Linked DNA regions of Rhinolophus ferrumequinum. The protein of the gene in region 1 interacts with the protein of each later gene in a biochemical or structural test. Links are inferred from orthologs where the notes say so. Each region holds a gene or a part of one and is shown in the gene's direction. Other genes may lie near its edges. The genes, in order: PDZK1, SLC34A1, CRHR1 and SLC22A12.

What was found.
Region 2: the proteins of PDZK1 (region 1) and SLC34A1 form a complex in vitro, tested with the Homo sapiens proteins (2 studies listed by BioGRID and IntAct, with this or other methods). The link is inferred for Rhinolophus ferrumequinum from reciprocal best matches to the Homo sapiens genes PDZK1 and SLC34A1.
Region 3: the proteins of PDZK1 (region 1) and CRHR1 form a complex in vitro, tested with the Homo sapiens proteins (2 studies listed by BioGRID and IntAct, with this or other methods). The link is inferred for Rhinolophus ferrumequinum from reciprocal best matches to the Homo sapiens genes PDZK1 and CRHR1.
Region 4: the proteins of PDZK1 (region 1) and SLC22A12 form a complex in vitro, tested with the Homo sapiens proteins (2 studies listed by BioGRID and IntAct, with this or other methods). The link is inferred for Rhinolophus ferrumequinum from reciprocal best matches to the Homo sapiens genes PDZK1 and SLC22A12.

The regions. Positions count from the first base shown.
Region 1 is NC_046305.1:49,993,607-50,000,681, reverse strand, and holds the start of PDZK1 (Na(+)/H(+) exchange regulatory cofactor NHE-RF3), read left to right. Parts: upstream 1-4,067; 5' UTR 4,068-4,234; intron 4,235-4,621; exon of another isoform or gene 4,622-4,851; intron 4,852-7,075. UniProt on the Homo sapiens protein: A scaffold protein that connects plasma membrane proteins and regulatory components, regulating their surface expression in epithelial cells apical domains.
Region 2 is NC_046307.1:5,237,283-5,245,262, reverse strand, and holds the start of SLC34A1 (sodium-dependent phosphate transport protein 2A), read left to right. Parts: upstream 1-4,962; 5' UTR 4,963-5,012; intron 5,013-6,222; 5' UTR 6,223-6,254; coding exon 6,255-6,363; intron 6,364-6,507; coding exon 6,508-6,657; intron 6,658-6,743; coding exon 6,744-6,872; intron 6,873-6,943; coding exon 6,944-7,087; intron 7,088-7,980.
Region 3 is NC_046304.1:40,818,525-40,825,905, forward strand, and holds the start of CRHR1 (corticotropin-releasing factor receptor 1), read left to right. Parts: upstream 1-4,374; 5' UTR 4,375-4,843; coding exon 4,844-4,915; intron 4,916-7,381.
Region 4 is NC_046294.1:6,934,196-6,941,664, reverse strand, and holds the start of SLC22A12 (solute carrier family 22 member 12), read left to right. Parts: upstream 1-4,464; 5' UTR 4,465-4,626; coding exon 4,627-5,028; intron 5,029-5,708; coding exon 5,709-5,812; intron 5,813-6,240; coding exon 6,241-6,395; intron 6,396-6,472; coding exon 6,473-6,641; intron 6,642-7,469. UniProt on the Homo sapiens protein: Electroneutral antiporter that translocates urate across the apical membrane of proximal tubular cells in exchange for monovalent organic or inorganic anions. Involved in renal reabsorption of urate and helps maintaining blood levels of uric acid.

The DNA.
Region 1 (7,075 bases):
TAGGGCTGAGCACAGCTGAAACCCCCAGGTATGTCACTTCCAGCATCAGAGAGCTTCTTCTATTGACCCCAGTATGCTATACACATATCATAGCTTTTAAAATATTTATTACCCTCAATTATCAGATACAATATATGTACAGAAAAGGGCATAAAACTAAACTACATAGCTCAGTCATAAACACCCGTGTAACCACATCTCAGCTCAAGAGCTAGAATCTTGCCAGCACCCCAGAAGTCAGGACAGCGTGTTACCACCTAAGCAGGCATCTCCCAAGTTCTGCCTGGTATTTGGACATTATGTAAACAGAATCCCAGAATGAAAACAACTGCACGCAGCAACGTGGATACTCTCACAAAGGTAATTATTGAATGAAGTAAAACACACCTAAAAGGAATACACCAGAACAATTTATTGAAAAAACACCAACCTTTCCCTCTGTTTTTTGTCAGAAGTCAACCGTTTTATTTGAACGGGTCTGTTGTGGGGCTGTCTAGTCTATTCCATCGGTCCATTTGTCTATCTCATGCCCATGCCATATTGTAGTAATTACTGTCACTCTACTGTCCTGTTACCCAGCAGAGCAACTCCTTCCTTATTCTTACTTTTCAGAACTAGCTTGTCAAATTCCACCAAAAAACAAACAAATAACAACAACAAAAAAAATCACAGAAAAAACCCAGTGGGGAGTTTGATTGGCGATACATTCATCTGTAGATCAATGTGGAGAGGACTGATGTCTTTACAGTGTTGAAGTTTCAATCCACGGATATGGTATCACTCATCTTCATTTACTTAAGTTTTCTTGAGTGGCTCTCAACAATGTTTTATAGTTTTCTAAGTGTATGCTCAAGTACTATTCCCCTCAATCTTTGGGGGGTCTGGGCAGAGCCTGCGGCAGCTGGCCTTCGGTCACTCCAGCCTTGAAAAGCCTCAGCTATTTACCCTAGTGAACTGTACAATTATTATCAATTTCTCTGTGTGACACGGTGGGGAAAATATTGGGGAGAATTGGCAAGTGTTTCCAGTTTTCTGTGTCTGACCACTTGCACAAAACGCTGTGTTGTGAGTGGGCAAGAACACTACCACAATGCCCCAAACATCCTGAGCTCCCGAGTTGCCCACTGTACTTCTAGCCTGTTTATTTCCAGGAGCCTGTCTGTACAATGTGTGCCCATAAATTAAGAAGGCTTATTCTTGCAAAAACATTAGTAACACGATTATGTACTGAGCATTTACCTGGCTCTGGGTGATGTAAAAATGTCTTCTTACTTAAGTCTCCAAGAAATCTTATGAGGTTGTTAGTATTATCTATATTTTACAGAAGAAAAAGCCAGAGTTTTGAGAGGCAAATGGTAGAACCACTTCCGCAAACATGGCAGACTAGGTCATCTGAAAACCCTCCCTCTTCAAAGTTCATAGAAAAACTGGGTAAAATATATCAAACAGTTTTTTTTTCCAAATAGATAGTTGAACTTGAAAGAAAGGAAAGAAATCTATAAGGTCCAGAAGTGAAGTGAAAGCTGAAACCAGTAACCTAGCAGTTTGTTTTCACACGGTCACTTTGGGACAGGAGGTAAGACCTCAGAATTGAGACCCTCCACAGAACTGAAATCCTCAAAAGCTACGTTCTCAGTGAAAGCATGAGCTGAAAACCAATCCTGTTGGCAAAAGGAGATTCATTTATTCACTTATTGATTCAGTAACATTTTTGAAAGCTTACTATAAGCTAGGCTTATATGCCAGACACTTGGGATACCGTGACAAAACAAATACAGATCTCTGACCCTGGGGAATTTATATTCTGGTGGGGGAGAGACAGAAAATAATAAACATATATCAGTATGATAAAAGAGGATATGTTTATGGGAAAAACAGATCAGGGATAATGAGGAAACAATCTGTTGACCTGGACTATGGGAAAAAAAGGAATTCTCTCCTGCAAATTTCCAACCACAGATCTGCCCTTTAGGGGGGGCTGGGGTTGTAACTGACATTAATTATTTGCATGATCTAGAAACACTAAGACAAGTAATTAACATAAATTGGCCCCAGGGTGTTAGTGTCTTCTCATTATTCTAGGGTTATAGAGAGGTGCTGGCTGACAAAACCCAAAGAAAACCCTCCACCCAGCCTGCCAAGGGTTCCCAGAGATAAAGCCCAAATAAACTTGAGCTCACAGTAAAAAAATTCCCACAAAACTACAAAACTATTAATGGCAGATTTAGGATTCAATACATTATCTGTTTGATGCCAAAATCCATGCTCATAGCTTTACATGCTTTCTAGACCCTCACCAGGACTTACACCATCCACCTTCACGGGCTTGCCTTAGGACCCAAGGTATTTAGGATCACAGAATCTTAGAATTGTAAGGGACCCCCCAAAATCCCCTATTCCTAACAAGGCAGAACATCCTTCTGTAACGTGACACAGATCCTCAGCCTTTGCTTGAATACCTCCAGGGAAAAAAAAACACACTCCCTCCCTGAATGGTGGGTGGAACAACACTGCCTAAGGAGAGGGACAGGCTCCTGAATCTTTCTGAGCCAGATGACCTTGGACACGATAACTAGTCAGATGAATTTCAGTGTTCTTATCTGTATAATGGGGATATCGTCTCCTGGGGTCATGCTGAGCCGATATCCCCATTATAACAGAATAATGGCTATGAAGATTTACCAGGCTAGGTAATCTTATTTCCCCTTCTCCTTAATGTCTAGATCTGAGTCATCTATAAAAAGACTTACTCTGCTTTGCGTTAATCAGATCAAATCCACTTACAGGCATGAGATTTTTAAATCCAAATTTTAGTGGGGGGGCAAATCGCCTTCCGTTCAGTGTTTCACCGGGGTAGGGTTTTTGTCATTTTAAAAAAAATCGCTCATTTCCATGTAATTTTGAATCAACACTGTGTTTTGCATTTCGAAGGCCTCTCTATGTCCAGTCTGAAGGCTGGTGGCGGTTCCATCTGTGCTGGGATGGAGGGCGAGTCTGAGAATCCTCTCGACTGGGGCTGGAGTGGAAGCTTCACTGTAAGGGTTATCTATTTATTTATTTTTTTCTTCTGTCATTCAACTTTTTTTTTAAATTTCAGAAGGCTCAAGAATAGATTTTACTACTGGGGCTCCTTCATTTAAAAAATGATAGCATTATTTACATACACTATAATTCACCTAGTCTAGGGGTACAGGTTGGTGAAATTCTGTACTTGTAGACAGTGAACTGCAGAGCCACCCGACACTCAAGATATAGAACAATTCTCTCACCTGGCATTACAACAAAGAAAACCCCGAAAAAATTTTAAAAAAGGTTAAGAAAAACAAAGTTTCCCCTCAAGGTCCTTGATTTTAAGAGGGACATTGACAAATCGACTGGGTCCAGGGAGAGAAGTCCTGAAGCCTTGGCACAGGCAGACCACCTTCAGGACTGAGGCTTATGGGGGATACATCAGCCCCACAGTATTTGAAGGACTGCTATATAGCTACAGAGTAGACTCAGTTCATCTCAGAGGGAGCCATCAGAACCTGTGGGCAGGAGTGAGAGCTCTTTTTGACTCGATATAAAAAAAAGGAAACTTCTAAAAACAACGTAATAAGGAGTATTTACAGAGGATGAAGCTAAGTGAGACTCAGAGGGAGAAACATCTAGATCAAGCACCTGGGAAATGGCAGTCAGAATGTGAACCCAGGTGTTTAGATCTGAAATCCAGATTCTCCCCATTCCTCCTTTCTACTTTGGAAGACACACAGGGAGCCCAGGGGGCCACAGCACCAGGTGGAGGTGACCTGAGTTAGCTGCTCAGCTGTTTGTCATCTTCCACCATGGACCCTCTGGCTTGGGCCATGCCTTTGTTGGAGGCAGCCAAAGCCCAGCGGAAACAAATGGCCCTTGCAGCATGGGGGTGGAGGGAGAGGCCACCCCCTGCTCGGCCAGTGGGTCGCTCTGCCTCACAGCCTAAAGCCATCTCTTGCCCTGGTTTCCAGTGTGGGCTGAGGATCCAGGTCAGTGAGGAGCCGGGTGCTGGGTTTGCCTGTGTGGGTGCCGCTGATACGGATCAGCTGCTGGTCCCGGCTGGGGTGCTGAGCCGAGCGCGGGGCGCCCCCACACTGCCCAGGTGGCCGGGCTGAGAGGAGCGCGTGCAAGTGCCTCCCACCTGTCCGGCGGGGCTTGCTGGAGAGGCCGTAACTGTGGAAGGGGAAGACAACTGAGAAGAGAAGCAGAGCACGCTCAGGTGAGAGAGAGAGAGCACTTAACAAGAGAAAGGGACCTGGGACGTAAGAGCCCGGGCTTTACTCCTAGGGAGCCAGCGAGAACTCCCTCGCAGACAGGAGAAAGGATGGGCACGGGAGGGGCTTTGCTCCCTTCACTGGGCTTCTCGGCCTCCTGGCCTTCTATTGGTGGGCGTCGCACAGGTTCCTGCTCCTCGGGAAGACCTCAGTGGGTGGGGATGCTCAGGTGAGCCTCAGTCCTGACCTTGGGATGGAAGATAGTGGAGGCTCCTAAGGCTGTGACCGTGGCATCTGCTGAAGGGAGGGAACCAAGGAAGGCAGAGGCTGTCCTTCCCCTGTTCTCCACCCTCCTCCTTTCTGGGAGGGGCTGGCATCCCGCACAGATAGGCCGGTGGGCCAGTGCGTTGGGTTTGCTGAGGGCTTTTGGGGTTTGTCCAGCTCAGGGCTGAGCTAGCTGGCAGGAAGCCGGACAGAGGTCACTTCAACTCAGACCATGCGTCTCTGTTAAATACATCAGCTTTTAAATCAATCCTCGTTCAAAGTCCAGTGAGTTTCAAGACTACAGCTTGCCAGCAGACAGTAAATTCCCCAGTACGAGCCGCTCCTCTTCTAGACCCAGGTAAGAGCTGACTGTGTCCCACCTGGGCCTGAAGCACCTTCTTCCTTTCCCCTTTCCTTTTCTAAGCAGTAGCTGGCTGTTCAGAGCATAAGCCAGGCTCACGGGGGAGGAGCCAGGCCCCTTTGGTGGTGGTGGGGGGTGGGGTGAGAGATTGACCTCTCTCCAAGATTCTCTCTGTTGGAGATGCCCCAACCCTTGGCAGGAGAGGGTCTGCTTCACCAAGGAATTGGGGACGATCCTCAGAAAAATCTTCCCAGGGTTGTATGCGGCTTTGATATGCAGCCAAAGGGAGTGAGACGACAGACCTCACAGGTCACGAGATACAGCGCCGTCCCACTACGCAAGGGCTTTGGGTGTTAGAGGTTGTCTTAAAGGATGCAACGTAGCTTAACTTTCTGGATAATGAACACAGGCATTGCTCCTCTTTTCATTACGTCATAGCACGGAGAAATGAGGAGAAACAGTGATTTCTAGGCTGGCTGAATTTTAAAACGTAGACCTCCAGGCTTTACCCTTTGGATTCTCTAGTTCTTTGGGTCTCGCGTAGGTCGGAAAAATCTGGGTTGTTTTCTTTTTAGCACTCACCGAGATGGTTCTCTTGTGTGCAGGTTGGTAACCAACTAGCAGCTTCTTTCCTAAGCAGAGGGATCAAGGGACTCACATGAGACTTTCTTCTAAGGACTCACCCACCAAGGAGAATCCTGGTCTGGGCTGGCTTCTTGAGGACACATTCCTTCTTAGTTTTAGTCCCTGCAGTGTTGCACCCACATGCTCTCATTACTGTGTCCCAAAGTCGGACGCACTGATTGTGTCAGGTCATGGTTGTCTAGTTACCTGGGGTCACATGTTCTTTCCTGCAGCAAATAACTCAGGGACTTTGAGTTTGTATGTTATGACTAAGTAAATTGTTCTTATCTTTGACTCTTTTGCATGTTCTTTGCACCATCAACTATGAAGTTGCTAGGAATGATGTCTTACGTTCATAGACCACTGGCTACACAGAAGAAATAACATGGGGGTGGATTGCAAATAACCTGGGGTTTGATTCAGTTTTCAGCGACAGGCTATTAGACAAATCACTTCGCCAGCTGTAGCCTCCATTTCATCATCTATCGAAGCCTCTCCTCTTTTGCTAAAGGCTGCACTGAAAATGAAATCATACTTATGTGTTTGAGTATAAACACACCCGTGCGTACGTCTCAAATGTGTGTATCTGAAGGCTCTGAGGATAGTGGGAGAAACAGCCTTGCGGTCCATCAGGAGACCTGGTCCCGTCTTTTAATCTCATCGGGCCTCGATTTACTCATCTATAAAAAAAGGGGTTGAGACTGACGATCGCAGTTGTTCTGTTCAGCCCACCAGGTATGATAGATCCTGGAGCTTAGACGCCTGGCTCCTTCTTGGCACTTGGGTTTGAATTAAAGGGTTACCTCCCCAGGAAGGGCCCTCCCTCCTCCACCCCACCGCCGTATCTCTTCATGTGTAGCCTCTATCTTCAGAAGTCATCTTGTTTACTTTGTATATACCACCTTTGCCAGATGTTTAGCTTCAAGAGCGCAGGGATCTTGTCTTTTGTGGTACGTGCTGTGATCCCAGCTCCCAGAACAACACCTGGCAGAGAGTAGATGCTTAGCTATTTGGATCAATGGCAGTTAGTGTGGCGGGAAAGAAGCTGCAAGGACAGAATCGGGATGTTTTGATAAGCTGCTCTGAAGGAGAAGAGGTTGAAGAACTGATACTCTCAGGTCATCTTGTAACGGTGACACTATATCTTCTATTTTGAGATTTAAACTTCTAGGGGAATTTGATTTAGTAGTGTAGTTTAGCTTGGGACTTTTTGAAAGTTTTCTTTGCTTCCCTCCCCTCCCACCAAACCTTAATGACTGTTTACTATATATTTACTATGCATACCAGTTTTTATGATTCTGTTTACTTCTGACCCTATGCATACCTGGTTCAATGACTTGAAAGAAGTTCTCATGTCTGTATAAGATCCACTCCTATCCCTGAAACAAAGCAGCCTCTGGGAAGTGCCTGACCAACTTCCACTTTCCTTGGTTCTGCGTCTCCTTACCTGCCTATAAAACCTTTTGGCCATGCTGGGAGTTGGGGGGATGGCCTTTGGACAGAAGTCCGCCATCCTCCCAGAGTGCTGACATTTTGAATACACTAACCTAGTCTCCCAAGCTTTCGCTTTTGTGCAGCGAGCAGCCGGACCCTTATC
Region 2 (7,980 bases), on another chromosome or scaffold:
CCGCAGCTTGCTCCGTTCCTGGACTTGCATATTTGTTCTTGGCATCGTATCTACTCCGGTCAGCAGCCATGCTGCTCCTGGGAAAATCGCTTTCGTTGGTGTGACGAAATTCAATATCTGTCCGCCTGTCACATTCACACTGGCCATGATGTCTGCGCTTCCCACTCGTGGCCAGCTGCCTCCTCCCCCAGCGCTCTCCCACATCACTAAATCTGCTCTGTTCTCACATCAGCTGCCCTCTCAGCAGACATAGCTGACCAGGGCATCTCTCAAAACTTGGCAACTTCGGCTTCTGGGGCATCCGCTTTCTCCTCTTCCTCCTGGTCCCGGCTGCAGGCGGGGATCTCAGTGTCCTTTCCTGGCTCCTCTTCCTCTGTCCTCCCAGAAATGTGGGGGCTCCTCTGGACTCAGCCCTGGGCCCCAGCTCTCCTCATTGTGCATACTCTCCCTGGGGGGGATACCTTCACAGGGGGAGCCAAGCCACGTTGAGACCCCGGGCTGTGATGGAGGCTATCTTCATGTTGAGAGGCTAGCAGGGGCAGGATTTAAAAGGGAGAGAGGTGACACGATGAGAACTGCGCTTTGAAAAGCTGGCTGGCTGCTTTGTTGGAGGCTGGATTGTAAGGAGTGAGGGCAGAGCCGGGAGAGCATTTGGGAGGCTATTGCAACAACCCAGGTGAGTGACAGTGGCCCAGAGCTCCTGGAGAAGGAAAATCAGGAGAATTGGACAATGGATTAGAGATGAGGAGGTGCAGAAGGAGGTGTCAAAGACGCCTGCTCCATTTCCTGTTCGATGGACCACATGCTGCTTCCTGGGGTTGGGATAAGCAGGAGGCCCCATGTGGAGTAAGGGGAGCACAGTGTGTGCTTTAGACCCACGGATCCAACTGCTCACGCCAGAGGCCCCTCAGACACAGCAGTACAGACAGATCTTGGCATCTTCCCTCCAGGATGACTCCTCCTCCTGGAAGCCTTTTCTCAATGTGAGACACTGCCAACCACCCAGTTCCAGGCCTAGAGGTCTGGAGAGGCCGTGGCCAGTGTGCACGTGACCAAACAGGACAGGAGTCACCCTTCCGGGGGACACAAAGAATCTGTCATAGACAGGGAGGAGGCAGGCTGTGAGCAGGAAGGAGGTTGAAATGAGCGAAGGGGTTGAGAGGCTGGAGGCTGGCGTGCAGCCACTTTCTGTGCTCCTCTCAGGAGTCCCTGAAGCAGCCCTGCTCGGCTCCCACGTTGTGGGGCTTTTGCTAGGGCTAGAGCAGCCCCATCCCACCCCCAGCATTTTGGGAAATATTTTGAATGTATAAGTCCACAGTATTTTGTAATGATATCTTTTGTGATGGGTTTGATCAGTAAGTGCCTCCCCCACTAACCCCTGAGCGCCATGAGAGCAGAGAAGGGCAGCCTTGAAACTGTCAAAGATCAACCTTATTAAAAAGGGAAGCACCCTGGTTCACAAGCAGCACCTGTGAAGCAGGCTGCGGCCACTTCTGTCCAGCCCAGTCTGAGCAAGGCAGGGTGGGGTGGGGAAGAGGGCCTGCAGTTTGGAGTCTCTGGGCCCACTGTGGGGCGTCGGGTGCTCCCCGGGTGGGGTGCTCAGGCTCAGACAGCCTCTGACCCACCCTTAATGTGACTTTAGCAGGACCTCTGAGCCTAAGGACAACTCCGACAGAAGAACTCACTAACAACCGCATTTCCCTAGCTTGGGGACACCCCTCCACCCATGCATGAACCCTACCTTATCCAAACCACTCTTTCCAGGTTGAAGAGGTTCCTACATCAATTAGGGGTGAAAAAAAAAAAGAAACCACAAAACTCATTCTTGAGAACATTTGAGATCTTGCTTCCCAGCACGTCATCAGTTTGGCTCAAATAAACTCACAATTAAAAAAAAAAAAGGCAGAGAGAAAAGGACAAAATGCACTGTTCTAAACATCACAGTGATGGTTCTGAGAAGCAGGGTTGCTTTTATTTTCCTTTTCCTATGAATGGAGACTTTTGTAGCAAGCACCAGGTGGCTGATTCCCTGCCTCAGTTTCCCAGAATCTCCCAGAACAAGTCATAATACTATGAGTTGTGATTAAAAAATACGAGGAATGCTTAAATTAAAAAACAATGTATCACAGTAAAAGATACATTGCCATTAATCCCCCTCAAAATACTCCCCTTCGCTTTGAACACATCCCATCATTCTCGCCACTTTCTAAAGCAGTTCTGGAAGTCCTCTTCCATGTGTTCAGTTGCACTATTGTGGCTGCGTAGTGTCCTGAATCAATTCAAAAATGTTTACTTTTCATGGTCATTTTGACTTTGGGGAAGAGCCAGAAGCCACATGGTGCCAGATCCAATGAATAAGGTAGATGAAGGCACACCGTAATGCTTTTATTTGACAGAAATTGCCTTACCAGAATCAATGTGTGACATGGAGCCTTTCTGTTGTGATCAAAAACTACAGTGAATGCTGCTGCCACATGCCATCTAACGGAAAGGCAGAGATCTTCAATACGGGAATTGGAAAGTCGAAACTTAGTAACGGTGTGTGACAAGTTTCACCTTGTTCAGTGCTGTCAGTCGGGTGTGAGCTACAGGTGAGGGGAGGTGTGTTTTCAAGTGTGCTGTAAATCATCCTCCATCATGACAGCGCTCCATGTCACACATGGCTTCTGGTACATGGCAATTTCTGTCAAATAAAAACATTACAGTGTGTCCTCATCCACCTTATTCACCAGCTCGGACACCGTGCAACTTCTGGCTCTTCCCCAAAGTCAAAATGATTTGGGACATCGAGGCAGCCATGACAGTACAACTAAAGACACTCATGAAAGAGGACTTCCAGAACTGCTTCAGAAAGTGGCAAGAACAATGAGATCAGTGTGTTCGAAGTAAGGGGGAGTATTTTGAGGGGGATTAATGGCAATGTGTCTTTTACTGTAATCATTTTTTTTTATTTAAACATTCACTGTATTGTTTGATCACATCTCGTATATGGCTTATTGTCCTAAGCCGAGCACGTCTCAGAGTGAAAGGGGATGCTGGGCCAACAGTCATACCAGGACTTGGCCAGGAAAACCGGGACTTACGGTTACCAAACCAATCCCAGCTGCACCTCCGCCCCCACCCACTTCTCTCCCCTGTGGGTTCTGTGACCTAAACTGACACAGCCCTGATGTGATGGACCTGGGATCAAACCCAGGCTTGCCATGTTTTCTGCTCTGAGTCGCTTCGACGGAGTCCATTCTGAGCACTACACAGTGGACAACTCCACAATGCACTGCAAATTAAGTACTAACTAGTTAACTTTTGTCACATTACAGAGGGAACTGTGCAGAAATGTCTACCTTCCTTGATGGAAAAAAGGTTGGGTCTGTGTCACCCTAATAAAATACGTTCAATATTGAGTAGGACTGCAGCTTAGGGGGCCCTGAGCAATCAGACGGTAGGTAGCTGGTGGGCCAAGAGGAGTTGTGGACCTGAAACAGGACTGAGAATCTAGAGGAGGTGGGGCCATTTTATAGCCAGGATACTTCAGCCATCCTGGAGACAGTGAAAAGGTCACGAGAGCATGAAGAGAGCAAACACGCTGAGGACTCTGTTCTAGGCACGGAATGGGTCATTTATCTCATTGAATTCTATAACTCAGAGAAAAAGCTGAGCTAATTGCCATATGGTGAAGGAACTATGGCTCAGAGAGGTGAGATGACTGGCCTCAGAATCCCAGGCTGACTCAGGGATTGGACCATTGCTTGGACCAGGAGAGAAGCTGGTCTTGCCAATCTTGGCTCAGAATAGAGTAGGAACTCAACTAATATGCTTAGAAATAGATGGACAGATACATGACCAGCTGGTGGCTGGCTGGCTGGCTGGCTGGCTGGCTGGCTGGCTGGCTGGCTGAATGAATGGATGGATGGCTGGCTGGCTGGCTGGATGGATGGATGGATGATGTTAGGTAGGTTAGTCAGACAGTTGCCAAACTAGATCTTAAATGGAACCACCATTGCTGGATCTGATCCAACTATGATCCCTTAGTCTAAAGGAAGTTTCCTTCTCGTCACTCTGTGCATCTGGTCACTAATTCAGGCTCCACAGTCCTGTGAAAGGGAAACAAGCTTCTGAAAGTCTTCCTTAGACCCTCTGAGTTTCATATCATCCTCAGTTTCCCAATCCAGAAATCCAACTGTATATTTCCTCCCCTCCCACTCTCCGCATCACCAATTCTACTGCCCAAGTATCCCTGGGATGCATCCTCCCCTTTCCATCCCTCCTGTTCCCACCTTGGTTCAGACCTCATTATCTCTCACCTGGACCATCTTATCAGCCTCTTAACTGATTTCTTTGCTTTCAGACTTGCTCCCTGTGATGCATCCCAATCCACATTCCCACCCCTACACCGAGAGGGACCATTCCAAAATGCACATAGGTCCTTCCATGTCTGGCCAGGGGCCTCACTTTCTGTTAGACTCACATCCTGGATTAATGGTCAGGCATTGTAGACGCTTCAAGATTCCATACTATGCAGCGTCTCCATGTTTGTTTCCTGTTGCTTCCTCCATCACATACTCCCTCTCCTCCAAACACCTTCTCCCCAAGACCTACAGACACAACAGGACATTTGGGTCACTCCCAGGGAGTCCTGTCATGCCAAGAATGAAAGGAAGGGACTGGAGCTATGGAATCTCTTTGGGGGCCCTGGGAACAAGATGCCTGAGTGGCTTCAGGGTCTCTACCTGGGGGTAGGGAATGTGTCCCTGCCTTGGCTGAGTCTGGGTGGTGGCTCAGGCTGACTGTCTGTGTGGGGGAGGGGATAGCCTGACTACAGACTCCCTCTGCAGAGCTGACGATTAGCAATTAACTGGGAGGAATCTCGGGGGTGAGGTTAATCGGGGAACAGAGGGAGGGCAGCTAGGGTTCTAGGAACTTTGCCCTTGACCGGAGGGTATAAAGAGGAGGGTCCCAGCTTCTCTGGGACTTCCCTGAGCCGCTGAGCAGGAGCTGAAACACAGAACCCCCAGGTGAGCCCAGGGCCTTCTCATCCCAACCTCATCCCCTACTCCTAGGTTATCATCCCGGTCCTCTCACTGCTGTCCTAACTGTCGCCTGCTTCCTGCCCCCACAACATCTCAGGCCCAGCCCAATCTGGCTCACTCCCCAAAGTAAAAAGGACTCATGGTCTTCCAGGGCTGGGAATTCAGCTCGACACCGCTCCTCCAACCCCACAGCCAAGAATCCTTGGGACAATGCTGGGGGTGGGAGTGGGGGTTGGAAGCAGACTGGAGCACTCCCACCATAACAGCCAAGAGCTCCTGGGGCAGTTCAGGGGCGGGACCTGAAGCAAGTCTGGGCTTCCCAGACTAGGGGACAGGGTGGGAGGGCCCTCATTCCCTAAACCATTCCTGGTCTGAGCCTCATTCATGGGAGAAAGGCAGCAGGGTTTGTTTATTGTTGGGGGGTGGGGTAGGGGTTGGATGGGGAAAACACTTCACTTGTGAGGGGAAGCCAGGAACTTGGGATCCAGGCCAGTGGACCCTTCCCTGAGTGCGTGCCCAGCTGGCCCCATGAGCAAGCAGGGGTCCATGGTTCCTCAGCACTGGACAGTCAAGACTCCTGCGTGGCCCTGCCCCGGGCCCACACCTATAGCCTCTTGCCAGCGTGCTCCCTGGTCCCCTCCAGCCACTGGGCCTTCTCAGCTCCTCCCTGCACACGGCCTTGGCATGCATACTCTGCCCCTTCTCCTTCTGGTAACTCCTACTGACCATTCTTTTCAGCTTGATCCCCTCTTCTCTCCCCCAACAGGCCACCCATTCATCACAGGCACCTATATCTGTCATAGAACACTTGTCCCCATTGTCATTTTCCATCTATTTAAGGGATTATTTCATTGACATCTGTCTCTGGACCACACTTTAAGCTTCCTGGGGGCAGGAGCTGTTTCTGTATTCGGCTGCCACTGAACTCCAACATCTAGCTCGGTGTCTGAAATAGAGCTGACGCTCAAGAAGTCCTTGCTAAATGAATGAATGAATGCCCAATTCATGCTGAGCACCTGAGCGTGCGTCCCGGGGCGGGGGGGGGGGGTCGGGGGGAGTGGATGGTGTACTTCTCTGGGTGTGTAGTTCAGGATTACCTGCCATGAGTGTTTCTGCAAGTGAGTGTGGAAGTGTGGATGTGAGCGTGGGTGTGTGAGTGTGCGTGAGTTTCCAGGACACAGCAGTTGTCATTCAGTGTTGCTGCAGGCTCTACAGCGTGTGCCCAGGATGATGTCCTATGGAGAGAGGCTGGGGGCCCCTGCTGTCTCCCCACTCCCAGTTCGCGGGGGGCACATGATGCACGGGGCAGCCTTTGCCTATGTGCCCAGCCCTCAGGGTGAGTGTGCTCCCACCCCCGGACCCTGCTTACCCTCAGTTGCCCACATCCTGGGCGAAGCCTCTAGCACTCCACCCACACTCTCTGACCCCCCCACCGGACCTGGGGCCTCTGACCAGCCTCCTGACCAGCCTCCCTCCCCAGTCCTGCACAGGATCCCAGGGACCTCCGCCTATGCCTTCCCCAGCTTGGGCCCCGTGGCCCTCGCCGAGCACAGCTGCCCCTTCGGGGAGGTTCTGGATCTCCATGACCCTTTGTCTGCCAAGCTGGCCCTGGAGGAGGAGCAGAAGCCAGGTGGGCCTGGGTGGGGAGGTGGCAGGGCATCAGCAGTCAGTGCCCCAGCTCTCTGGCTACTGTGCTCACAGCTGTCCCATCTCCAGAGCCCGGACTGGTCCAGAAGCTGCACCGGGCTGGCCTGAGCCTCCTCAAGGTGCCACTGATGCTCTCTTTCCTCTATCTCTTCGTCTGCTCTCTGGATGTGCTCAGCTCGGCCTTCCAGCTGGCTGGAGGTAGGGCCAGGAGAGGGCACTGGGGGAGGGTCCCTGAAGAGCCTCAGACAGCACTGGCTCATGCTTCCCAGGGAAGGTGGCTGGCGACATCTTCAAAGACAATGTCATCCTGTCCAACCCGGTGGCGGGACTGGTGGTGGGCATCCTGGTGACCGTGCTGGTGCAGAGCTCCAGCACCTCCACGTCCATCATTGTCAGCATGGTCTCCTCTGGCTGTGAGTTGGCCCACCAGGGCCCGGGAAAGTGTGGGCAGCTGGGTGTGCTGGACAAGAGGGTTGGGGGGGACAGGGCAGGGCTGGGGTTCAGGGGGCAAGAGTGGGGACAGGGTGCTGAGGACAAAGGGCAGAGCTCTGGTGTCTCCCACTCTGTCCTCCAAGGCCTGGCCAAGACTCTCAGCAAGGGGAGGTGCCCCAGGAGCTGGAAGGGAGGCAAATGGGGGGCACAACCCCAGGAAGGCTCACCTCCATACTGCCACACAGTTACTCATTCCATCAGTCAGGGAAACAGAACCAAAGAAATCAGAGAAACGGAATCTGCAGGACATACTTATGTGATTTATTGCACGGAATTGGCTTACATGATTGTGAGGCTGGCTAGGCAAGCCCAAAGCTGGGAGGCAGGCCGTGGGGAAGGGCAGGCCGTGGGGAAGGGCAGGCTGTGGGGAAGGGCAGGCCAGAACTCCTGGGCAGAAGCCCGTGCTGCAGTGCACAGGTGGGATTTCTTCATCCCCGGGGAGGCTGCAGATGTGCTCTGACAACCTTTTACCTGATTGGGTAAGGCCTACCCAGGTTATTGAAGTTATCTCCTTTCTTTAAGGTCAGCTGGTTGTAGAGGTGAATCACATCTGCAAAACACCTTCAAAACAACATCTAGATTAGTGTTGGATTGAATAACTGGGTACCATAGCCTAGCCATCACAATTATGTACAACGTGTGCACACACAAGCAAGACACACATTGGCATATAGGACACATGGCTTCATATGCACGTGCCCACACATATTCACATATGTGCACTGCAGTGCATGTGCATTGGTTCACGTGCATGCACATACATATAAACACACAGCATGTACCCACATGTACCTGTGACACTGAGGTGGGCAGA
Region 3 (7,381 bases), on another chromosome or scaffold:
ATAGATGCTGCGCATTAAGTGTTTGTTGAGTGAATGCACAGATGGATGCAGCAATGAACACCAACTCCCTTGATGTTCATGCGCTTTTATTAGCCGTTCCCTCCACGAGGCCATTTTCCTGACCTTATACTTCGGAAGCATTCTGGACCAGTGCTATTCCGAGCATGAGCTGTCTGCAAACTATTTTCTACCAGTCCATGACAAGGTTAAGCGCAGAGATTGAGAGTGAGCATTTAGAGATGTAAAAGCACTTTGACAGGGTATGTTTATGTCCCTTAGATCTAACAGTTTTAAAACGTGGGCTTTCATTTTGCATGTCTTTATGTTTCATTTCATTTTTGCTAATAATTAATTCCCACTGTATTTTGCAATAGTATCATTCTGAAACAGATTAAAAATGTTAAAACCATGAACGGGTGCTTTGGCACACATAGGCTAAGAAGTATGGTTCTGGGCTATTGGCCTCACTGAAACACCCAGGGTGAATGCCAAGGGAACCCCACAGGCTGAGCCTTCCCTTGCTGGGCCCCACACTGAATAAATGCAAAAATATGGTAATTGTGCTCGGGGTAAGCACACTTGCCCTCAATTGATACAGACTTATTGTTGAGGAGAGAAGAAGCAGGCAGGTCAGCTGAGGAGCCCTGGGTGGCTGAGGGTCAGCCCTTCACTAATTGTTCTCACGTCTGGAAGGACTTGGAATTGTCTTTTACTGTTTGGATACCTCGTATTTCCTCTTTCTTCCATTTCTGGCGTGTTAAATGAATGAAAGCCTACTGGGCCTGGACAGGAAGAGGATGAGGCCAGGAAGGGGTCAGAAAAGAGTTTGGGAAGGGTCAGGGAGGGAAGAGAATGCCGGAACGGAGCAGCAGTCTGTCCTGAGGAGGGTGTGGAGAGGCTGCCTAAGGAGACCACCCTGAGCTTCAGGCTGGAGCACCTGGGGCTGAGGGGGGTGCGGTGGGGGAGGCATGGACCACCTCTGGCGGTGGCATCAGAGCAGATGAGAGCCGGGCTCTTGAAGGTGGAAGGAAGCAGTTTCAGGACAAATGAAAGGGGATATGGAATCCTTTCACAGAAGGGGTGTTAAAAATGTGGCTCTCGTGAACATCCTGAGGCAGTCAAGGCCAAAACCATAAATAAGTAGATCTTGGAGTGATACAGAAGCCCTCCTCCTCCCACCTAGGGGAGAGGAGGGGCAATGAAATGTGCCCTCCTACATGCCCCTTTAGAAAGAGAATCCCAGGCCAAAAAGACCGGAAGAACAAGACTTGATTACAGCCTGATCGATGTATTAGCATATTTAAAGATCAAGTCAAGGGGAGAACCACAGGGATCAGAAAGGCAACATTTGATGGTGTTTATTAAGCAGAGAGATTCCTGGAATCAGGAAATCTGGAGCTGTCTGGTCCCTGGAGAGTCAGCTCCAAGGTCGGGCAGAGCTGGGGAGTGAGGCCTCTGCAGGGCCTGGGCAAACCTCCTGAGGACCTGCCAGCTCTGATTCCACAAGACCCCACTGCTGTGACCTTCTCATCAAGAATTCTGCTTTCCACAAAGAATTGCCTAGAGAGAGGGACCACACTGCCCACACATTTGAGCATCCGGTCCCCTCAGTGGTGGTGGTAGTGATGGTGGCTAAAGCTAACCTTGAAACTCTTGTTACGTGCCAGGCACCATTCTAAGCCATTTAAAAATAATGATTTACTTGCACCTCCATAAAACCCTATGAGGTGGGTATTCCTACCCCCATTTTATAGATGAGAAAGTAGAGGCACTGTTAAATAATTTCTCAGGTTCATACAGCTTGTAAACAGAAGATCCAAGAGGCTGTCTGACGCCAGAACCTGCACTCCACTAGACTGCCCTGCATTTATTTTTTATTTTTATTTTTATTTATTTTTATTTTTTTGGGGGGGAAGGGGAACAGGACTTTATTGGGGAACAGTGTGTACTTCCAGGCCTGTTTTCCAACTCAACTTGTTGTCCTTTCAATCTTAGTTGTGGAGGGTGCTGTTCAGCTCCAGGTCCAGTTGCCGTTGCTAGTTGCAGGGGCACAGCCCACCATCCCTTGAGGGAGTCGAGGAATCGAACTGGCAACCTTGAGGTTGAGAGCCCTTGCTCCAACCAACTGAGCCATCCAGGAGGCAGCTCAGCTCAAGGTGCCCTGTTCAATCTTAGTTGCAGGGGGCGGAGCCCACCATCCCTTGTGGGACTTGAGGAATTGAACTGGTAACCTTGTGGTTGAGAGCTCAGTGGCCCATGTGGGAATCGAACCAGAAGCCTTTGGAGTTAGGAGCATGGAGCTCCAACCGCCTGAGCCATCGGGCCAGCCCCCCCTGCATTTACTTTTGGTTGAGAACAATAAATTGGTGCAATCTGGGTGGTGCATCCATCTCTTCTGGGAATTGGTTGGGGTAAGTTAGTTCCAAACTCAGCATGACAAGCTCTGGGGCACTAACCAAATGGGGTTTTTCAAGACTCCAGACTGAGTGCTTCATCTAGAAAGTGCCACCCTGTGTGGCTAAGCCACTGTGACCAGCTGGCTGCCTGGGCAATGCCCCTCCCCACCTCAGAGCTTCAAACCCCATCAGGGCCCCCCACTACAGGCACTTTGAGCAGGGATCAGGACGCTAAGGATTAGGCTTACCAGCTATGTGACTTTGAACAGGTCACCACCTGTCTGTGAGTCTCAGTTTCCTCATAAGTAAACTGTTCATGTTGAACCTCTTACAATAACTCCCTTTTAAGAAGAATCAGTTGGACCCATGAACCCGCTGGCTCTTGCCCAATGTGCTGAGAAGTGAATGGGTGGAAGGAAAGAGGGGACTGGGAACAGCGGGGCACAGAATCCAGGGCAGTCAGGTTCAGCGTTTGAGTTCAAAGTCTTCTGACCACCACTCTGGGACTGTGCTCCACCAGAAGTGCTCCACAGGAAAGCTGCGGCTTAGCAGGCCGAGGCTCTTCAGGGAAGAGTGATTTCTCTACCACCCTTTTCAGCTCTGGCGGTTGGAAAGAAGAGGTAGGAGAAGTCAAAAGTTCTGTCCAACTGGAAGGGCTGGAAGAGGGAGGAGTTACTTCCCAGAGCTGGAGGTGCACTGGGGAGCTAGGGAGCTATTCCGGATGAAGACCGGGAGGTTTGGCAGGGCGGCTGACCCTACCCTGACGGCTCGGCCCAAAGGGGGCGCTGTGGCCTCCTCCGCGCGCTGCCCGCTGGATTCCTAGATGCTTTCCCCACTGTAGCGCAATGCGCGCTCGGCTTTCCCCTCCGCGGTGGTCAGATGACGGCTAATCCTGCAAGGCACCCCCGTCTCCCCATCATCTTGGGGTTCCCAGGTTCAGCCCCTTGCCCAAACTGGGCAGGCACTTAGTCTGTAGAATGAATGAATGGATGAAGGAGCGAACGAATGAGTTGAGTGAATGAACGAGAAGGATTCCACCCGCAGAGCTTTCGCGTCTCTGTGAGCACCTGGCGTGTCAGTGCCAAAGGCTCTGGGGGTTCGGCCCAACTCCCCCGCCCTGCTGAAGTGGGAGCCGCAGGAACCTTCTCGTGGCCCGCTTCAGGGCGGGAACGGCCCAAACGCAGTTCCCATTTCTTCACCCGGTTTCCGCCGCGGCTCTGCTCAGTAGGGGCTGCCCTATTCCCCAGCCTCCAACAGTCTTGCTCTCATAGATTCACCTGAGTCCGCCAAGTCTCCCCCAGACTGCCCTGGACTCCCCGGGCCCCGATTTCAAGCCGGGCGAGAGGCCGGAGGCTGCCTCTGCTCCCGTCCCTCGCCCCCCCTCGCTCCCCCCGTCTCCTGCTTCTCCCCCCGGCTGCGGCGGCCGCCACCGCTGCTAGCGCGCGCCCCGCTGACTGCCGCAAACCCTGGAGCTGGGAAAGGGGGTCAGCGCGGCGAGGGTGCGGGAAGCCGGCCGGGGGGAGAGGAGGGGACTGGGAGACAAGGTGGAGGAGGAAGCAGAGGGGCGACGCGCGGAGGAGGGACTGAAGTGGAGGGGAGGGGAGAGAGATTGAGGGGAGGGGACGCCGCGGCGAGGGGGCGGGGAGCCGAGGCGAGTGGCGGCGTGGACCCAGGGGGAGACGGCGGGGGTGAGGCGGCCTCCCGGCGGGCAAGAAGCGGTTGCCAGCGGGGCTGAGTCAGGAAACGGCGGCCGGACTTACCCGGGAAGGGAAGAGCGAGAGCACGCCTGGCGGGGCCGGGCAGCCACAGAGGAGCCCGGCCGCCCATCCCATCCTCCTGAGCCCGCGACCGCCGGCCCGCCCTTTTGGGATGTCCGAGGGACCCAAGCACTCAGGACGGTGACCGAGCGACCCAAGGATGGGACGGCACCCGCAGCTCCGGCTCGTCAAGGTAAGAGCGAGCCGGTAGCTCTCGAGCGCGGGCGCGCTCAGCCCCGGGCCAGCGCGGGACGTGGGTGAGCCGTGTTGCTGGCGGTGCTGGCGGTGGTGGTGGTGTCAGTGGGCAGAGCTGCGCACAGGTCTGGGCGCGGCCGGGGTTTGAGGGGCTGCCCAACTCCCTCTCCCTGGACCTTTGGAGGCGTTGGGTGGGTGGAGGGACAACACAGGTGAAAAAAGAAATCGCGGTGGCGAAGCTGCTGGGATGTTGGCGGAGGAGGGGGTCCGCCCACCCGGGTAACCGGCTCTGTGCAGAGAATCGCTTTAGGCTTTGGGCGTCCAAGCTCCCACCCCTCCCAGGCAGACCCCGGCCCCGGGACAGGGGGCTCTGAAGCTGAGCTCCCTGCCCGTCCCATACCTCTCATCAGCAACCCCTCTCCGCACGCCCCCTCCCTGTTCCTGGGAGCTCCTTCCTGCCCCTTCCCCTGCGCGGAAAGATGCAAGTCCGGGGAGATGAATGTCACCCGCGCCTCGGAGCCCTTGATCAATATCGCAATCTCGGCGGCTGAGACGGTGCATTCGGAGGTGGGTACTGTTCTCGCGCGGCCGCCCGCCCGCCCGCGGGAGCGCAGCGCTCGCTCTCCGAGTCTTTGCACCGGGCGCTGCGCAGTGGGCCGTGAAGGCTCGCGCCTGCCTGGGGTCTGGCAACGCGATTCTGGCGCCCGGAGTTTCGGAAAGTCGCCAGACCTCACGTCCAGCGTCTGCCCGCTGAAGTTCGGGGGCGGCAGGGGGCTGCCCGCGGCGGTGTGGGTCCGGGAAGGGCTGGGGATAGACAGTCCGGCCCGCGGCCACCTAGTGACAGCCTCCACTCCCCAGCGCCCAGCGCTTCCCAAAGCGGTTCGGCTTGCAGGGTGAGGGCACGTAAGCAGCAGACGGAGGGAGAAGGCGGGTGGGCCTACGCGCCGCCGCGGGGGAGCCCGGCCAGGCTCTGGCCAGAGGATCCGGACTCGGCCGGGTTGATATGGACGGCTTGAGTCACAGACGCAGACACCAGCGTGACGGGGTTCAGTGCGTTTAAAAGCGATTTCATTCAGAAGAATTGAGTGGACTGTGGGGAAGGGTGCGGGTTGACTTTTCATTTTCCCATCAGTTATTAAACCAACTGTACGCATACCAACTCACAAAGTGGTTTGAGGTAAACCACCGAGGTTTTAAAACGCAGCTGTTCTCAGTTCATCAGTTGAGAGGTTACCAGTTACCGAGGCTTCTCCGTGTTCTCCCCCCGTGTCCCAGATATTTATAAGTTGTTTTGTGGGTTTTGTTTTTAATGACTGAGGGTTGGTCCGATTGAACCCACATCCCCTTCGCCACCCATTAACTGAGTACTGGGGGTGAACCTAGAGATTATTTTCTGGGTGATCAAGGAGATCTGGAGAGGGAGGTACGAAGAAAAATATCCAGAGAGGATGAATAGATGGCACTGAATGGGAATTTTTTCCAAAAGATTGGTGTGGACTCCCGGCCTTGGTCGAAATTCACAAATCAGTTAGACCGAATTCAGTGTCTTAAATGGATTCAAAGGATTGAACTGTAGACAGATTTTGTTTGTTTGTTTCTTTTTAAGTTTACTTGGTAATAAGTAAATGTTCTTTCTTTTTGGCCTTTCTGAGAATCGTGTGCAAATCACTGCCTAAAATTATCATGTTTTCCTAAAAGAAAAAAATATTTTTTCTGTTGTTGTTGTGTGTGTGTTTTTCCTACTAGATGATGAGGTATGTACCCTTTATGTCTGATCTAATGAACTCAGTAAGTGCTCAGTAAATACCGAACTGAGTGAGAGGCAGTGAGTGAATGGACAGCTAATGCTGGTTTCAGTTAAATAATTCTTTTTTTTCTTTATGCACAACTTGCTGGGTGTTGTTCTACCTGCTTTGCAAATATTACATCATTTAGTCCTCATAACAGCCCTAGGAAGTAGGAATTATTACTGAGGCACAGAGAGGCTAAGTAACTTGTTCAAGGTCACACAGCCAGTAAGTGATGGAGCCAGAATTCAAACCCAGGCACTGTGGCTCTAAGGCTTTGTTTTGTTAGCGTTTACCAGAAAACATTCTAAGCCATTTAACTCTCATCCTAGACCTCTGCCAGATGAGAGTTCAGGTAGTTTTGTCAGTATAAAATTACGAATCTAGGGGAGTTAATCCAAAACCCAGCTCTGTCCCCAGCAAGTCGGCCAGTGTTGGGCAAGAATCCACTCTGCAGCCCTTATTGTGGGCCTTGTACTGCAGAGATTACAGAGAACTGGGGCAGAGTAGGGGTGGGGTGGGGTGGGGAGAGTATGTGGGGAAAATGTGTGTGAGTGTGCATGAGAGAGAAATGTGTGTGCGTGCATGAGAGGGTGGTTGTGTGTGTGAATGCGGGAGAGATGTGTGTGTGCGTGTTTGTGGATGCGAAGGAGGAGATAAGTGAAATATTGCCTCTACACCCAAGGGAGCGGGGTTCCAGCGCATCTGGGTCAACCTACCCACTAGCCACAACTCCCTGAAGGAAGACCCGAGTGTAACTCAACACCGTGGGTTCCGGTGAGTGTGAAGGGTGGAGAAGGCAAGGCCTGGGTGGGTTATTAAAGGAGAGTGAGTTCTGAAGAAGGAGCTGGTTTTCTTGCTGTTATTATTATAAAAGTAATCTAGCCACGTTACACAAAGTTTGGAAACCAGAGGGGAAAATTATTACAGGCTCACCTCCTAACACACCTACTGTTACCATTTTTAAAATAATCCCTCTAGGCCCTTTTTCAAGTGCAGGTTTGGGTAGAGCTGTGACCATTGGGCAGCTCTATTCCACTGACTGTGTCATAGCCCAAGTTTCTTCCATGTTATTCCCAAGCCTCCAGAGGGAGATTGTCAGCATCTGCCTATTCCCTATCAATGAGTGTTCTTTGCATCCCTATGTTGCTGCACATTTGGGCCATTTCCTAATTGTTTCTTTGACAAATAATATGGAGCTAGGTTTTTGAGGGGAACACTGGCAAGAGGGATAACGAGGGGGAAA
Region 4 (7,469 bases), on another chromosome or scaffold:
ACTTCCCCCTCAAACTTGCTTTCCCCCCCGGCCCATGTTCTAGATCTCAGGAACTATTCCCCCCTTCACCCACCTGACCAGAGGGTCATCCTTTTTCTCCTCTCTCAGCACTCACATCCAACCCGAAGCAAATCAACATAGCTCCAGGGCAAGCACCTCTCCCCACCTGCCCTGCCGTCCTAGCCCTGATCCCTGTCACCTCTCTCATGGACCATACAACAGCCTCCTGGGACCGTCCTCCTACACTTGCCCCCTTTTAGGTGTGTTCTCCACACAGCAGCCAGGGGGGTCTCTCTGCATGTTCTGGCCCCATCGCTGCTCTCCTGACGTCTCATCCGACTCTCTCTTTCGCTCACTCCACTCCTGACTCAGTCCAGTTCCTTGAGCCCACCAGGCACACGCCCGTCCCAGGGCCTTTGCACTTGCTCTTTCTTCTGCTTGGAATGCATCTGTGCTTTGTCCCCTAGGCTACTCAGGTTTCTTCCAATGTCACCTCCACAGAGAGGTCTTCCCTGACTGCCCCATTCAAAGTGGACCCCTTACTCTACCCCTTAAGCCACCCTGTTTCTCTCCATGGCATGATCATTATGTGTCAGTATATTACATTATATTTATTTATTTATTTCAAAGATTTTATTGGGGAAGGGGAACAGGACTTTATTGGGGAACAGTGTGTACTTCCAGGACTTTTTTCCAAGTCAAGTTATTGCCCTTTCAGTCTTAGTTGTGGAGGGCGCAGCTCAGCTCCAGGTCCAGTTGCCGTCTTCTAGTTGCAGGGGGCGCAGCCCACCATCCCTTGCGGGAGTCGAGGAATCGAACTGGCAACCTTGTGGTTGAGAGGATGCACTCCAACCAACTGAACCATCCGGGAGCTCAGCGGCAGCTCAGCTCAAGGTGCTGTGTTCAATCTTAGTTGCAGGGGGCGCTGCCCACCATCTCTTGCAGGACGCGAGGAAATGAACTGGCAACCTTGTGGTTGAGAGCCCACTGGCCCATGTGGGAATTGAACTAGCAGCCTTCGGAGTTAGGAGCATGGAGCTCCAACCTCCTGAGCCACTGGGCCAACCAAAAACGAGACTTCTTAACAAAGACTTGAGGGAAGGGGCTCTCTGGGAGAACATGGAGAACATGTGCCTGCCACAAGGCACAGCAAGTACAATGGCCCTGAGGTAGAGACAGGCCTGGCACATTCAAGAGACAGTAAAGAGGCCAGAGGCGCTGGTGTGGAGAAAACGAAGCAAGGAGGACATGAGCCTAAAGCGGTGGGAGAGGGCCGCTCCTTGTAGGGCTTCAGCTTTCACTTAGTGTGAGATAAGACACCGCCAGGTACTGAGCACAGCAGTGACATGGTCTGATGGAAGTAAAATGAAATCCCTCCATCTGTGTGTGGACAATAAATTGTAAAGGTCACAGGTGGAGGCAGGGAGGCCAATGAAGAGGTCCCTGCAATGACCCAAGGGAAGCAGGACAGCGACCTGGGCCAAGGTGGCAGCAGTGGAGTCACTAAGAGGTGGACACGTCCCAGGCACGTTTTGAAGGTAGAACCAACAGGACTTTCTGGCCAATGGCACACGGGGTGTGAAAGGAAGAGAATGGTCAGAGATGACTTCAGGGCACTGTCCCGAGCAAGCCAAAAGCTGAGATGGGGAAAGCCATGAGAGACGCATGTTGAGCGGGGAGTTCAGCTCTGGCCACGGTAAGTGTGGGATGTTTATTAGGCCTGTTATAAAATGATTAAAGAAAACAACTGAGGTTTATTTGGGTCAGAGAGCTGCACGCCAGGGAGTGGAGCTCAAATCCAACAGTGACTTCCCCACAGCCTTTGGCAGTGATTTGGGGGAACCGTCAGCGCAAAGAGCGTCTCGTCCCACAGGCCGTTCGCAGTTAGCTTAGGATCCCATCCTCGTTCCCAAAACTCTTACTAAACAATTGAAGAGGACAGTGGAGATGGTACAAACAAACTTTATGACATACTTCACGAAGTGGACAGTCTCCACGGGAATAATTGCAAAATGGAGCTAAAGGCCTGACAGTTCTGTAGGAAGAACAAGGAAGAGGAGACCCTTGTTTGGGGTGAGAAGGAGCCCGGAAGTAAGCAGAGAGCCCAGAGGGGCCTTGACATTGATGATGGCTACCTGGACAGACAGCCTTCTGGTCAAGTGCAGCATGTAAAGGGACATAGAAGTCATCTAAGGGTTTGCTGACGTGGCACCCTAGGTAGGAGCGGCTCCCCTGGGGCCTGGAAGTTTATCTCAATAGGCCCCTGAGTATCGGCAGTTGGATTAAAGTTTAGCACTCCAAGAAGAGGTCCGAATCGTCCCAACGATAGAAAAGATAGAGAGAAGAGAACCAAGGCTAAGCACTTTGGCTCCCACGGCCAGAGTGTGAGGAGAAGAGAGGAAACCAGCAAAGTGACTGAGAAGCAGGTGGGGAGGGAAGGAGAACCAATGAGTCTTCTGGAGGGAGAAGGGGCAGGGGCGGTGAGGGCGCGACTCAGGTATGGATTGAAAATGCCACTGAATTCAGCAGCAGGGACATCTTTGGTAACTGTGGAGGGACAGGGCAAAACTTTATAGGAATGAATCAAAAAAGAAGGGGAAGAGAGAAACTGGAGACGAGTGTCGGTGATGCTTTCATGGAATTGTGCTATAAATGAAATCAAGAAAGGAGTGGCACTGAAGAGAGAAGATGGGTTGGAAAGGAGGAGGATTTTTTGAGGATTGGAGGAGAAACAGCATATTTGTCATTGATGGGAATTGTCCAGTAGGGAGGGAAAGATAGATGCCAGGGAGAGAGGGGGACTTGAGCCGGTGGAGGGGGTGGGCTGCAGGGCACACAGTAAGGGGCTGGCCAGGACGAGGGGGAGCACGCAGGGCATTGACGGTGGCAGGAGGGAAGGCAGACCGTGGGGGCACCAAGGCAGGCGGGCTGCCAAGAGAATCAGACGGTTAGCTTCTGACGCCTTCTGTTTTCTTAGTGAAATTAGGAGAAGGGAGACATCTTCTAATGAGAGCGAATGAAAGACAAGGGGGGAGGTTTGAAGACAGGAAATGGTATAAAATACATGGTAGCTCCTAGTTTGTGAGTTCAAATATAAAGCTAACATAAATAAAAAGTCCCATTGCCAAACCAGGATGGAAGACAAACAGAGCAAGAAAATCTGAAATTCCATAGGAAATGGGAACAAGGAAACAAAGGTGTAAAGAGAAAATACGGTAAAGAAGAAAATGTAAGTCCCAACATGCCAGTAACCACAATAATACAAATGGGTTAGAATCACTGGGGAAGTCAGAAGCTTTTCATTTGGATTTTACAAAAGGAGAATTAAGCTTAGTTTGCAGCCCAGGCTGATGAAGTAAACATACCAGGGGCTAAAGGAGAGTCTGGAAATATTTGCACCAAGGTGTTAAGGGTGGTGATCACTGGCTGGTTTAGAAGTTTAGGAGTGATCTTTGTTTTCCTTTCCATATTTTCTGAGTCTTTTGGAAGGTGTATACATTAATTTTATAATCAGGAGAAAAAAATACGAGCTGTTTTTAAAACCAGCTGAAGCAAGTCTTCACGGAACCTGTTTGTTGTCTGAGTTGGCGCTGGGTTCCACGGGTGTTCAGCAGAAGGTCCCCTGCCCTCCCAGGAACTGGAATGAGACCAGCTGGACAATAATAGAAGGGTGCCAGCAGTGTGAAGATGGGCTCATTGCGGACTTCCAGGCGAGAGGGGGGACACGGCTAAGCAAGGAGAGCCCCCTGGAGGAGGAGGCTTTTGTAGTCCATGCAGAATGTGATCCAAGGGGGAGGCTAGAGACAGTATTCCAGGCCGGAGGCACTGCCTGAAGAAGGTGTCTGGTGACATTGGAAAGTCCCATAGAGGGCTCAGGAGAGGGTGACAGCAAAGGGCGGACAGGCATCAATGATTGCAAATGAGGAGAAGTGAGGGCGGGGAGTGAGGCCACACCAGCTGGGAGGCACGGGGTTCAGATGGTGGCCGGTGACTTCACACACACACAGGTCTTCACAGTGCACGGGATGTCGCTCCAGGCTCCCGCCAGCCCAAAGATTAGGAGGCTCCCCAGTGAAGCAGGCAGGGGTGCCAGGGGGTAGCAGCAGCTGCACGCGTTCCAGGGGAAAGCCAAGGCCTCCCCCACGGCCATCAGAGACCAGGCTGCTCCTGGCCAGGCCTCCAGCCCACGCAGGGCAGGGGCTGCTCTTCTTTTGCATTTGTGCCTCCCTCAGAGCTGGGTTAAATTTTGACAGAGGAAATGATTACTAACCCCTATTCTATAAATGCCACCTGGTCACAGTTTAATTCCAGTCTGCGTGACTTCAGTCTCCACTTTTCCCCCTTCTCAAATTCAGCTTCTCCCAGAGGTCCAGGGGAAGCTGCATCTCTGGGGAGATGCCAGTGGCTACAGGGTCCCACCACACAGCCTTGGGTCCCCGTTGGAGCCACCCTGAGTGACAGCTGCTGGCCTCCGAGTCAGCGAAGCTGGGGCCGCTGCCATGCTCCAGGCTGCCTGGCTGGCGAAGCCTGTGCTGCCAGAGAGGAGGTAGGCTCCTGGCGCTGGCCGCTTGGCCCTGAGCCAGCCTCTGTGACGTGGGCACCTCCAGGGGGTCCTTGGAGGGCTCCATGGCCTTTTCTGAACTCCTGGACCAAGTGGGCAGCCTGGGCCGGTTCCAGGTCTTGCAGACGGTGGCCTTGGTGGTCCCCATCATGTGGCTTACCACTCACAACATGCTGGAGAACTTCTCGGCCGCCGTGCCCAGCCACCGCTGCTGGGTGCCCCTCCTGGACAACAGCACTGCCCAGGCCAGTGCCCCTGGTGCCCTGGGCCCTGAGGCCCTCCTGGCTGTGTCCATCCCACTGGGTCCCGACCATGAGCCCCACCAGTGCCGCCGCTTCCGCCATCCACAGTGGCAGCTCCTGGAGCCCAACACCACAGCCACCAACTGGAGTGAGGCTGCCACTGAGCCGTGTGTTGATGGCTGGGTCTACGACCACAGCACCTTCACTTCCACCATCGTGGCTGAGGTAAGGGCCTCTCCTGACAACCTCCCCGAGTCCGGCCACCTTAGAGGCCAAAGTCACTGCTCGTAGTTGGCTGGACTCCGAATGGCCCACTCCCAGGAGGGACCGCCGGTGCAGGCCGCCCCACTCTCAGGGGAGCTTCTAGCTGCATCGCCCTACAGAGGAGGGGGTGGCAGGAAACAGCCTACAGAGGCCCGGTGCTGGTAGAGGAGCAGGCGGCACCGACTAGGTGTCCTGGACACCCAGGCTGGCCCTGCTGCCGCCTGACAGCGGTGGCTCAGGCAGCCGTCTCCACGTGTGGGCTCGGTTCCACTCAGAAGATTCGTTGGATTCCTGAGGCATCAGACAAATCTGGGAAAGTAGGAAAGGCGCCCATCCCAGCAAGCGGGAAGAGCCTCTTTGTAAAGAAGCAGAGGGAGGTGGGAGGAGGTGCCAGCTTGGGGAGGGCTTGACCCTTGACCCGAGGCAAAAGGGAGCAATTAAGGGGATTAGGCAGGAGGTGACAGCCCTTGCTGTCCCACAGGGCCCTGCCCTATGACCCTAGAGGTCGAGGTCACCAGGTCAGCACCCACATTCAGCTGCCTGGGACCTTCCTCTCTAGGTCCTCTGCCCCCTCCCACCTGGGCTTTCTCATCTTCCCCCTCCAACCTCCTGAGCTCAGCTCCTCCCATCTCTCCTACCAGTGGGACCTGGTGTGTGACTCTCAGGCCCTGAAGCCCATGGCCCAGTCCATCTTCCTGGCTGGGATCTTGGTGGGAGCCGCCGTGTGCGGCCAAACCTCTGACAGGTGCGTACCCCTAGTGCAGGCAGGCCCCATTGCCTTCGCTAGATGCTTGTGTGTGAGTGCCCCTCCTGACACCCTCTGGCTGTGCTGCTGAGCAAAGTTCGTGCCCTCTTTGGGCCTTGGTTTCACCGTCTCTCCTCTGGGGTTGTAGAGGAGCATGCCCTTATCAAACACTCACTGCTGAAACCTGCTCAGCCACACGCCTGCCTGCAGCTGCTGCTTGGATGCTCCTGCTGACAGGGAACTCACTTCCTGCCCAGAGTGTCTTTGTGCACCTGCGCTCACGGGCCCTCCGTGGATGAAGGATGTGGGTCTGGCCCCAGGTGTCCCTTTAGCATCCACCTCTGCACAGCGGACAGAGGGTGGGCTCCGGTGGTCCAGAACCCCGCGGCCCACAGTGGACCTGGCCACCATCCCGGTGTGTGTCACAGGTTTGGGCGCAAGCTGGTGCTGACCTGGAGCTACCTGCAGTTGGCCGTGTGGGGCACAGCGACTGCCTTTGCCCCCACCTTCCCCGTGTACTGCCTCTTCCGTTTTCTGGCTGCCTTTGCCATCGCGGGCATCATGATGAACACCAGTACTCTCCGTAGGTCCCCCTGACCCGGGGCCATGCAGGGGAGGCTCTCAAAGGCTCCTGGAATGACCTATGTGGTCTCCTTGCAGTGGTGGAGTGGACATCAGCACAAGCCCGAGCCTTGGCAATGACTTTCAACGCCCTGGGCTTCAGCTTCGGCCAGGTCCTGTTGGCCGCAGTGGCCTATGGTGTGCGCGACTGGACGCTGCTGCAGCTGGCAGTCTCTGCCCCCTTCTTCCTCTGCTTTGTGTACTCCTGGTGGGTGCTGCCCCCATCCCCCTCAGAGGAGGAGACCCTGCCTACCCTCCACCCAGGGGAATAGGAGACTCTCCTCGCCCCAGGGGCAGCGGGCTGGGGGCGCAGGCAGCCAGGGGCACAGGGCAGCAGGGGAGTCATAGGATGGCAGAGTTGGCAGCCACAAGCCCTCGATGTTCACCTACTCCAACCCAGAGCTCAATTGTCCAGGATTTGTCTCCTTCGTCTCCTTTCCCTGCTCCTCTCAGGTGCTCCTTCTCCCTTCCTCACCCTTCTCCCTCCCTGTTCCTCCCCGTCCGTCACCCACCGTGATCCCGTGGCCATCTCTCTCCTCCCACCGTGCTTGGCCCCAGTAGCACGTGGCCAGTACCTTGTCGTGCCCTCCCCAGGCAGCCTCACCTGTGCCCACAGCTCTTCCTCCAAATGCTGCAGACCCTGAATTCCCTCTCTAGTCCTGCCTCTCCCTGGCCACCAGTCTGCTGTTTCCAAACGCCTGTGTGACATCTCCATGATTGGTGTCGCAGCACCAAAATATAACGTCTTTTTACACAGCTCCTCCCCAAGGCTCCCCCCCAGCATGGACAGCAGCCCCCACCCACCAGGTACTGGAGTCAGAGTTGCCATGACACCCTCTCCCTCACCGTCCCCTCCCCCCAGTCCAACAGGTCACTGGCTCTTGTCCACTCTACTTCTGTCAGGCACCTGGATTCCTCCCTCCATCCCCAGAGGCTCAGGGCCCCGGTGGGTGTGGAGCAGGCGCCCCATACTATGGCTGCTCTCGGAAATGGAAAGCATACCTGGCTGGGGAACTTGCACAAGCAAAGGCCTGGG